Cricetulus griseus: one gene and its partners. The protein of the gene in region 3 purifies or fractionates together with the protein of the main gene of each other region. This does not show direct contact. Links are inferred from orthologs where the notes say so. Each region holds a gene or a part of one and is shown on either strand. Other genes may lie near its edges. The genes, in order: Kctd10, Klhl9 and Usp25.

Evidence for each region.
Region 1: the proteins of Usp25 (region 3) and Kctd10 purify together in Homo sapiens (affinity purification with mass spectrometry; 4 studies listed by BioGRID and IntAct, counting the BioPlex papers as one, with this or other methods). This does not show direct contact. The link is inferred for Cricetulus griseus from reciprocal best matches to the Homo sapiens genes USP25 and KCTD10.
Region 2: the proteins of Usp25 (region 3) and Klhl9 purify together in Homo sapiens (affinity purification with mass spectrometry; 3 studies listed by BioGRID and IntAct, with this or other methods). This does not show direct contact. The link is inferred for Cricetulus griseus from reciprocal best matches to the Homo sapiens genes USP25 and KLHL9.

Annotation. Positions count from the first base shown.
Region 1 is NC_048597.1:93,992,940-93,996,590, forward strand, and holds part of Kctd10 (BTB/POZ domain-containing adapter for CUL3-mediated RhoA degradation protein 3), read right to left. Parts: intron 1,669-3,651; coding exon 1,579-1,668; intron 1,311-1,578; coding exon 1,258-1,310; intron 71-1,257; coding exon 1-70. UniProt on the Homo sapiens protein: Substrate-specific adapter of a BCR (BTB-CUL3-RBX1) E3 ubiquitin-protein ligase complex. The BCR(BACURD3) E3 ubiquitin ligase complex mediates the ubiquitination of target proteins, leading to their degradation by the proteasome.
Region 2 is NC_048595.1:59,402,474-59,406,224, forward strand, and holds the start of Klhl9 (kelch-like protein 9), read right to left. Parts: upstream 2,680-3,751; 5' UTR 2,157-2,679; coding exon 300-2,156; 3' UTR 1-299.
Region 3 is NC_048597.1:18,205,775-18,209,425, forward strand, and holds part of Usp25 (ubiquitin carboxyl-terminal hydrolase 25), read right to left. Parts: intron 1,685-3,651; coding exon 1,557-1,684; intron 1,293-1,556; coding exon 1,197-1,292; intron 1-1,196. UniProt on the Homo sapiens protein: Deubiquitinating enzyme that hydrolyzes ubiquitin moieties conjugated to substrates and thus, functions in various biological processes including inflammation and immune response.

The DNA of each region.
Region 1 (3,651 bases), about 76 Mb from region 3:
CCTCCCATTAAAGCGCAGGGAAAGTTTATCAAAGAGCTCGATGTTCTTCAACATATTGTCGTCAGAATTGCTGCAAAGAGTGTTCAGTGAGGTGAACACAGGCTGCAGATGTCTGCCCAGGCCTCCCTGGTTCCTTCTCCTTCTCTATTTCTACTTAGTGAGCCTTTGCAACACTAAGACACTGTAATTATTTACTGCCCGAGAAGGAAAAGGACGCCCAAAGACATCAGTTCACCAAGTCCCAAAGTGTACAAATGGCAGAGCTAGGTCTCCAAAGACAGTTGTGGCCTGAAGGCTGTGCTCATAACCCATGGTTGCAGTAGATTACTGAATGCAGGACCTCTGGGCACAGGCTACTGAGCCTGCCCTACCCTTCTCTGCCAAGCCCCATGAGGTACATAACAGCAGAGCCCAAGGAAGACCTTTGTTTTGTTTTTGTTTCTTTCAGACAGGGTAGCCCTGACTGTCCTGGAACTCACTCCGTAGACCAGGCTGGCCTGGAACTCAGAGATCCTCCTGCCCCTGCCTCCTGAGTGTTGGGATTAAAGGTGTGTGCCATCACCGCTCAGCTCATTAAATCCCTACATCTCTCAAGTCGCTCATTTACAGGGTGTGTTCCTGAGAGCCAAGGGGACTCTAGAAACACCTGCCACTTGCTGGTGGCACTGTTCAAACAGTACAGTCCCCAGTAACTAAACAAGTCACAGATGACCAGCAGCTCACTCCTCATGTTTAAAAGAAAGGAACACCTCAGTCCATAAAACATTAAACTTAAACTTTCAGCAGTATTGTTCATAATCGTCAGAAGCTGCCAACGACCCCACGCCTGGCCATGCTGATGAGTGAAGTGTGACAGTTTGCCATAAAGGAGAATGACATACGGATGGTGCTACAGTGCATGGACCCTGAAAACATTACCTTAAGTGAAGAGATCAGCCGCAAAATCATGACATGTTTGAAACAGGCAAATTTACAGACACAGAAATGTAGGCTAACAACTGCTCTGGCCAGGGAAGCTGAGAAGGACTGCTAGCAGGGTGAAAAAAATCTTTCAATACTAGCAAGTGTTGGTGACTGCACATTGTGGGTATGTCAAAACCACTCAACTGTACAACACAAAAGGTGAATTGTGTGGCATGGGGAATTCCACCCAAAGTTTCACCTACCCATCTATCCACCCAGCTAAGGACCCAGAGGACCCTTCTGGTGTGAAATAGACACAGGCAGAGCCTGGCATAACTGCTGGCTGGTGCTTACCTGGTGTAGGAGTATTTGTTGTTACTTCTGTTATAGAGCAGCTTCACAGCCGGCTGTGGGTGGGTAAAAGGAGAGGACAGTCACTAGACATGTGGGTCAGTACACACTGGCTTCCCAGTGGCTGTGGGCACAGGCTTGCAGAGCTTACAGGAGGAGGGTTGCTGCGGGTTCCGGGGACAGGGGTAACATAGGAGATGGGGCTTAACACTTAGAACGGGAACTTTATCTCAAAACACAGGCACTGCTGCCACCCCTGCCTCTGAGCCTGGACAACATCTCCCCCCCCCCACACACACATCCCACTCCCAAGCCTCTACACACCTTATTTGAAGTCGCTATAAGTCTCTGTTCTTCCTTGGAGGAGGTGATGACAGGAACCTTGCAGAAGGGTTCATAAGTATCTTTGTTCTGCTGGAACAAGACATGCTTTCAGCCCGGGGGTCTGCCTAGCACACAGCTGTTTAAGCTGACCAGCCAGAAAGCCAGGCCCTGATGAGGAGACACAGGACAGTCATGGCGGGAGGAGAGGACACTTTGCACCTGATAATTAGGAAGGGTAAGGCTAGGGGAGGAGTCTGCTGTTTAGGGCTGTGATATGCCTGACTGCCCACTAAATACAAGAATGACACAGCTCTCTCTGCCCAGGAAGCCCTCAGTATGTCAGGCGGTGACATCAAAAGCCCCTACAATCCACTCTAATGACAGCAGCAGAATGAAGAGAACAGGCAAAGTGGAGTCAGAAGACAAACTGCGTCATGGGTTGAGCTGGCAAGCAGACTCCAGCTGAAAGGCAAGGAGGGAGCCAGAGGGAGCTCATGTGAGGGAAGAAGAAAGCCTGAAAGTCCTCGGGGACCACTGCAGACTGGGGGCTGGGGTGAGGGCAGAGCCAGCTCAGTCAGCCAAAGAAAGGTCCACATTCCTGCAGTGGTGACAGAGGGCAGAGATGCGTTACTGCTCTAACAATGTGCAACTCCCCCAAGCCTTCTGAAAGCCTGGATTTCAGGCAATGCCACAGCTGGCAGTAGAGAGCTCCTCACAGGGCATCATCTTCTGAACAAGAGGCTATCAGTGAAGTCAGTCAGTCTATTATCCAACCACGAAGGCTCCAGAAGACTAGGACTGACAGCCCCACATATGTGGCTTTTCCTTGGGCCTCAACAGAAACCAAGGGTCATCCAATTATGTATGGGAAGCCTCTCAAACATGACACTGGAACCAACAGAAACAGTGAAAATTCAAGGGAGAGAGCCACTGAAGGAGCAGACAGAGCAGATTGAATGACAAATAGATGGGGGAGGGGAACCTTCTGAAACAAGGGCAACACAACATGAAAACAGCTTCCAGACATGGTAGGGAAGTGACAAGGAGCCATGTCCTGGAGGATGAACCTCAGATCTGTAGACAGAAGCCAGAGGACATGTCCCGACACAAAGGTGACAGAGGATCTTGGAGACATCTGGACAGTCCAGCATGAGACTGGCCCTCCTATCTGTGAACCTGGGGATCAAGTAGGGACAGAAATGCAATTAGAAATCAAGCAAACAAAATGCCACAGGGCACAGCAAGATTGACAATGACAGGGTGAACTAGGACACTGTCTAACCCAAAGCTGTGATTAAACTCTTCTGCGAGAAGGAACATGCAAGCTTGGTGGAGGGGAGGGAATATACGAGAAGTCTAATTTTCTAAGTCCAGTAGGTCCTGTCTAAAGCTAAGAATAGACAGCAGCAGAGAGCCTGCCTGGGGAAAGGGGCATGGGAGGTGGGAAGGCAATGGTGGCACAAGCCATCAACCATGCAGTGTCGCTGTACTTCCTGCATGATGTGCCTGCACAATGTCAATAAATGTAAGAATGACTCCAGTGAATGGATAACATTTACAAGGGCTCACAGGCAAGAGATGTGTGTGGCAAGACAATGAATACTGTCCCAGTGAGGGCTAGACACAGCTCCAAGGCTCAGGGAAGGCTTAATCACAAGCTATCGCAGCACAAAGGAAAAGCTACTGACTACATGTGCTCTGTGGATTTGGCCCTTACTGGTCCTGCTTCAGGATACACAAAGAGTAAAGGGAGTGTGTCTGGAGGTTTCTCTGGACTTCCAACAAACATAGGGAGGCAGTCTCAGGGTGGAGCTTGAAGGATTGCAATCTACAGATGACACAACTGCTAAGGTAAAGATCTGAGCACAAAATGTTTCTCAAGTACCGTCAAGTATCACCTAGACAACAGCATCCCAGGTGGGATGTACAAATGACCACATTCTAATGATGGGGGAATGGTTCCCTGACAGTTGTGTTCAAAACCTTTGGAAGCAGAGCTCTGTTACAGCAAGTAGATCCCAGGGTTACTCTGCAAACGTCTCCCAATGTCTCAATGAGGTAGGGCCCATTTGC
Region 2 (3,751 bases), on a different chromosome or scaffold from region 3:
TTTCAACTTTGTAGCATAATAGACAATTACACATTCACTATGATCACCTACAATTTGACATATGTAACACCACAAAAGATATCTAATTTTTCATATATCTTTCACTTGTTAAAACAGCTAAATATGTGTTAAAACACATTTTTTTCAGAATGTACTTGGTAGCCATTTAATAACATATTAAGCAAAACAAAAAACCCTAAGTTACCTTTTTGTCTATTAACTGTAGAGAGTAATAAGAGACAATTGAAGGGGAAGGGAGATCATCCATGAATACACTGAAAAGGTATTACACCTTGTATCTAAGAATGATCTGAAGGTGCTGAAAGAGGCGATTCTCTTGAAGGTGACCCAGGGTTTTCTTCAGGCGGAAAAACTGTGAGAGTACAAGCCCGAATGCCGCCAAGTGACTCTGGAAGATCAAAAACTTTATGCCACTCATCTTTTTCCGGGTCGTACTTCTGGACAATTTCTACCATGCAACGGTTATTCCAAGAATATCCACCAACAACATAGATTTTGTTTTCAAAAACAGCAACTCCAACATCACTCTGACCTCTCAGCATAGCAGCAATTGGAGTCCACTGGTCAAGAGTTGGTGAATAATATTCGCAGCTGAGAACATCATCATAATCACTTGTTCCTCTGAAGTGGTTGCCACCAATCACATACAGCTTGTCTCCAACTGTACACATGCAGTGCAGGCCTCGGACTGTAGTCATAGGAGCCTTCTGTGTCCATTTGTCTGTATCTGGGTCAAAACACATGAGCTCATTTTGGAAAGTGTCATGAGTAATTCCTCCTGAAATATACATTAGACCCCCATACACTGTTCCGGCATGACCATAGTGGGGTTCACTCATTTTCGCAACATAGCTCCATTCGTTCATTCTTGGGTTGTAACATTCTACTGTGGCCAGTTCACCAGCTGCACTGCGCCCACCAACTGCATACAAATGTCCTTTAAGGGCACTCAGGTGAAAGAATGTGCGCTTTTCATTTAATGATGCCACCTGCATCCATTTATTATACCGAGGGTCAAATCTGAAAACTGTATCAACAGCAGTTTTTCCTTTTGTATCATAATTACTCTGACCACCAACTACATAAAGGAAATTTCCAATAACAGCAATGCCATGCTGGTATCGAGGAGCATCCATGGGGGCTAAGGACTTCCACTCCTGTGCCCTTTCATCGTACATCCTCAATTCTTTACTGACCACTAGCTGCTGCCTCAGAACGCCTCCTAAGGTAACAAGGTGAGTGGAATCAGAGCGAATGGCAGTTCTGTCTGACTGCATCACTGGCTGCATATATGGCATCATTTGGTAATTGCTTGCTTCCAAAAGTAAATTCACACAGGTATTGTCTGTTCTCATGAAATCTACTGTCTGCACATAGTTGATGAGGTCCTGTGGTGTCATCAGTGGAAATCGAATATTCTTCATTAATTTTGCAGCATAGTCCATCCGAGGGTCTTCCAGCCTCAACCAGCGGCAGGCTGCCTTGAAAAGTTCAAGTTCGGAACAGTGCTTGAGACTATTGCTGGAAAGCACAAAGGCAAGCCGTTCAAAGGGGAGTTTTAGGAACTCCCCAGTACTCAGCAATGCAGGAAAGTTCTTCAGGATGAAATTATTTACATATTTATCCACTTCTATAAGATTGTAGGTGTTAGCAATCCGTCCGACCTCAACACAGTTATCTAAAGAGACGCCTGATATAAGAAATACTTTACAAAAGTCCAAAACTGGTAAGATTTGTAGAAAGCTGGCAGCTTCAAGGGTGTCCTGAAGATTGTCCATGTTAAGGGACAATTTTGCGGTATAAATAAAATCAATGATTTTCTTCAGGCCAACTTTGTTCACCCCATGAAGTTTAATGCACATTAAATCTTGTTCTTTCATTCCGCCTGTGAACATGGCCTTGAAATAATCGCTAGCAGACGCCATCATGGCTCTATGAACCGGGAAGATCTCATCGCCATCACCAGGTACCAGAGTCACGTCACAAAGCAGGCCCTCGAGTCTGAGCTGATCAAAGCCTTGCAACACCACCGAGCTGTGGGTATTGCTGGTAAAAAACCGCGTCGTTCCTGCCTTGCAGGGCTGCAGGTGGGCAGAGACGCCCATCTCGCCGCCGGTACCGAGAGACACCTTCATGTGAGAGCCCTGCGTTCGCAGCGAGCCACAGGCCGCAGACGTTACAAAGAGAACGCTCTGAGCAAACTCAGGGCCGCAGAACGAACCAAGGGCGATCAGTCGCCGCAGCCCCGCTCCGCTCCGCTCCGCGCACACCCACGCCCGCCCTGCGGCAGGATCACGCAACGCGGCCGGCGGACCTCAAATGTGACAGTAAAGCCGGTGAGTCATAACCTGAGGCAGTTCAGCGACCGCTTCACCGCGGCGGGCCCGCGCTGTCGTCCTCTGCAGCTGCTCTCGGGGCGGGGGAGGGGCCGTCACGGCCTGCGCACCGCCGCCACCGCCCGCCGGGCTCCGCACCTCCGCCAGTCGCCGCTACGCCCTCGGAGGTCCGCGTAGCGTCTCCTCGGCCACCGGCTCGGCTGGGAGCAGGACCTGGAACTCTGGTTTAGGGCTGGAACGGCGGCCTAGACCGAACACCTAGCTCGTCCTTCCGGAAAGGCCGAATCCCAGGATCCCCCGGGTTAGGAGCGGCTGCACAGCTACTGCGCCTGCGCGGCTGGCCTGGCAAGGGGGCGGGCGGATGGGGGAAGGGCGCGGGCGGGCTGGGGGCGGGGTTGCGCTCCCCCAGCGAGGCCCTGGAGGGGGCCCCCTTCTTGCAAGCTTGCAGGAGTGCGCAGGCGTGCATGCATGCTTGCTGCGTGAGGTTTTCTTACCACTTTCCAAGAGCGCATTCTTTCTAAGATTTACGCTTCTTCGCTTGTGCCAGAACAGCCACGAAACGCAGCCTTTGTTAAAAACTGAGGAGAAACCTGGCAGAATAAGTCATTGTATCATTTAATTAAAAAAAAAAGTTTTACAATTTACATCACACTCAATAAATGCCTCACTTAAAATAGGAGTTGTAAGTGTTTTTAAGCATTTAAAACACGTGGCATTTAACTTGTTACTAAAGTTTGGTCCTAATGATACCTCTTGAAGACTTGGAGGGAGAGGGAAAGCCATCATAAAGACTTTATTCATGGTTTTGTTTCCTAAATACTTTTTAAATGGTTGCACAATTTCCCAATAATTAAGCATGTTATAGTTTACTTTGCCCACTGTTTTTCTCCTGAGTGTATAAACCTTGTCCTTCATTGTCTTATGGAAAATTAATAAGCTTAGAGAATTTGCACACAAAACCTTATTCTCTATTGAATAATGATAATATTTATTAGAATATTCAACTCAATGTTTCCAAAATAATGTTACCAGCACTGCTTGGGTTTGCATTTCCCTTCTCTTGGATTTCCCTTTTATGACTTTTTTTATTTATTAAAACACAGTTCTCTAATTGCAAATTTTAATTGTGATTTGCAATAAGTGTATAATTTGCCATAACTCTCTATTCTCTGAATTTGACGTTATCGCTGTCTTTAAATCTTTCTAGCATTTTCTTGTATGCAAACTAAAAATATGCTTATGTTCTTCTACTTCCTGTTTTGGTTTTTTTCTTTTTTTACTAAATAGCATATATCCTGTTATATCTTTCTCTTTTTTTGTTGTTGTTCAAGATTTTCCAAAATCGGTATATAGAGAGCTTACTTAAAACATGTTGTAGAGGCTAGTAGACCAGC
Region 3 (3,651 bases):
TGTCAGCGTATTTGGTTTTCTAAGTCTTATAAAATAAGGCAGAAATGAAACTCGCTTACTTTCTAAGGGAGAAGATGAAACAGAATACACATTAAGGAAATGCACTAAATGATCTTGAAGGGAAGGACAGCAAAGCTGATCAAGATGGAAAGCCGTGAGTACGGATATACCTAAGGTGCTGTTCTAAACTGCAGATCAGTGAGAAGATGCTCTTCTAAACTGTGGATCAGCAGGAAGACACAGTGATGAATCGTCTGCAAACGCTCCCTTCTCTACTCTAGCCTTGCCTTCAAGGTAGTGACTTTAACATCATTTACCTTGTGAGCACTTTTCATACATGTATGGGAATCTTTTATGAATAAAAGTCACTGGAAATATGATAATTTGAACTCAACTTTTGTTTTGTTTTGTTTTGTTTTGTTTTTGTTTTTTCGAGACAGGGTTTCTCTGTGTAGCTTTGGAGCCTATTCTGGCACTCACTCTGGAGACCAGGCTGGCCTCGAACTCACAGAGATCTGCCTGCCTCTGCCTCCCGAGTGCTGGGATTAAAGGTGTGCACCACCAACGCCCAGCCAAACTCAACATTTTATGTTATGAATATGAAGACTAAAATCAAAGCAGAGGGTAAAGTTGGAGGTAAGCAACCTGAATTACTCAAACCGCATTTCAGCCTGTAGACTTACCTGGCTGCATGACACCCACATTCTACATTTTATGCTGTTTCCTAAGGAATCAAGCAGTACTGTGGATGTAAAAACATCTGCACATACAGCCCTCCCTTGGGTACTTGATAGCACTGGCTCCAGTCACACTCCTATAATCTTCCCTCCCTGCCCATCTTATTCCCGAGTGACACTGCTGCATGAATCTTGGGAGGCCAGGGACACTAGTGTTATCTTATTTGCCATTCCCTTCAGCACAAAGTAAATCTCATGCTCTGTGTTGGAGTCCTTTAGCTCCATGTACAGCATCAGGGTAACAAGCTGTTGATAATCACATATTTAATTTCAATTTCTAAAATAATCATCTAAAGCCTATTAAAGGTGCAACCTAGTTTCTGAAATTATTGATCAAAATTTAAATCCAGAATGATTATCTATGACTACTATTATAAGCTCCCCAAAGCATATTTAACATTAAAAATCTAGTCACAAAACACATGCTTTCCCATCACAATGTCATAGCAGTTAAAATACCTTTCTAATCTTTGTTGTAATACTGTGAGGTAATCTTTAAGTCTTTTGATCTCTTCACGTTTAATTCTTGTTATTTCTCTGTTTCTGTGCATATACCTATATCAAGGAAAAAACGAGCAATCATTAGTATTCCCAAGTATCTTGGAAATAGATATGGTGTGCAGCCTAATTATCACAACAAAAGATCAACTGAAATTTTATAAGGTATCACATGTAAAACAAGAACTATTTTAACATTCCAAAATACAGTTATATAAAAGAAAATTAACATTCCCTTGACAATTAGTGAGATAACGTATATCAGTTAAGCTGAGACTCACTGAACTGTTGCAAAATTATACCATTCTAAATAAACCATACCTGTCCAGATACAAAACTTGGGGGAATTCTAATTTGTTGTGAATTTTTTCTGGTCTTCCCAATGCCTGGTTAAATTCAAATCTTGACAGTTCAAATGTTAATACAGGTGGCAGCTCAGTAAACCAATGCTGAAAGACAACAACAACAGACACTCAGAATCTCCCTCTCTGTTTTGCCCCATGGCACTTTTATGGATAGGGTGCAATGATGGTGCTGATGTCACCATCTGACACCACTGAGGAGGGAATACAATGGTTTCCTAACAGCTAAACTTCCTTTTGAAAAATTCCACAGCATTTGCAAATCCCAACAGTGGGTCTGACAATAAGAGGACAGAGGGAAGCCTTATCTCCACAAGGCTCTTCTTCCACAATTGTTCACATTAGAAATTCCAGCCAGAAGAAAAGGAGACACCTGTTGCCATTAAGACTCAAGAGCTCTGCCTTCTTCAGTCTTATGTTGAGTGATACTGAACTCAACCAGCTTGTCAAATCCCATGACTTGACTGAAAGGGAAGAAAATACTTGTCTGGTACAAATACTCACTGTTCTCGGGAAAACATTATCTTCCTATATTATTCTTTTGTCTTCTTATTTTTACCTTGAATTTTACAACTACACATTATACTAATTCAGGAAATAGATTTGTCATCAGTGAATAAAATTATGCTTATAAGAAACATATTCAGAGTATTCAAATACAAACTAGTGTTTACAGTGTTAAATTTCTTGCTGTTATGACCCAGTTGTCATCCACACATGCGCACATGAGTCAACAAAACTTCAAAAAACTTCTTTTCGTGAAAACTTCAAGATTTACAAAAGCCTACCATTTGTTTAAAAAGATGAATGTTTATATTCACAAACCAATATAGAGATGTAAAAAAAAATAGAACAAATGCTTTTTAAGTGTTTATTTTTATAAGCCCTACAACAAGATTCTGTTGAAGGAAATGCAGCACCTACTTCACAGTGTGTCAATGCTCCCAGTGTCAGGAGAATGCCACCACACCCCCTCAGTAAGTGTGGATGAGCTTAGACCTGAACCCAAACACAGGAATAAACATCTCAGGCTTAGCAAAAAGAAGTGAACTTGAATCTAGAGCTGCTACTTTTCTCCAAGTAAAGCTACTAGAAGTCATATACTTATTTGTTGCTATTTCTCCCTCCCCAAGCACTACTGATCACTGGCTCTGCTACACTTACCTGAACTGAATATGAGTAAGGTTTTGCCCAGGTCAGATATAAGGAACATGTTTTATAAGAATCACCAAAGACCTAGTATAATAAGTATGCTATGCTAGGTTTAAAAGAGAAAAGTCCCTGGAGATTGAGTTATGGGAGGTAGTGTGCTCCGAGCTTGGAACTGAACTCAGGACCTCTGGATAAGTGGCACAAGCTCGTAACTTTTGAGCCATCTGTCCAGCCCATTCCATTTAGTTCTTTCTCATTTCTAAGGTTAGATAAAAATTAAAACATTGTCTCTGATCTCTTATAGACAAATTCCTGATTCCATAGGATAATATTCCAAACTTCATTTGTGATATTCAAACAGGCCAGCATACTTTTAGAATTGTTACTTCAAAATTTACCTCAGTCCTTTAAATATCTTTCCAACTAACTTACTACACATTTTAACTGATGAGAACCCACAGTGGCTGGGAGAAGTGAAGTGACCAAAACTGTGGAAAGCAGTCTTCTACACATTTCTGTAGTACATGAGAGGATGCTCAGAGAATATTATGTAGCATGTCTGTATTGGGAACGCATTTTCTCCAATAGCAACACAGGTTTTTTCCTACTATAAAGTGAAAAAACTTCATTATCTTTGTCTACAGTTCATGAGCTCAAGATAAAAACCAGGCATTTCCTAAATTCACTTTAAGGAATCATTAATTACATACCTAGCCCTGAACTATTAATGTTTCAAGCATAGTAACATATAAATAGAAATTTATGTAGCACAATATTTTATTTCTAAACAAACAAGACCCAAATTCTTATTAATACCAATGGACATTATCATATAATCTCCATTGGGGTTGGAAAGGGTCTCATAGGCCAGGCTGTCTTGAAATCCTATATAGACCCCAGGC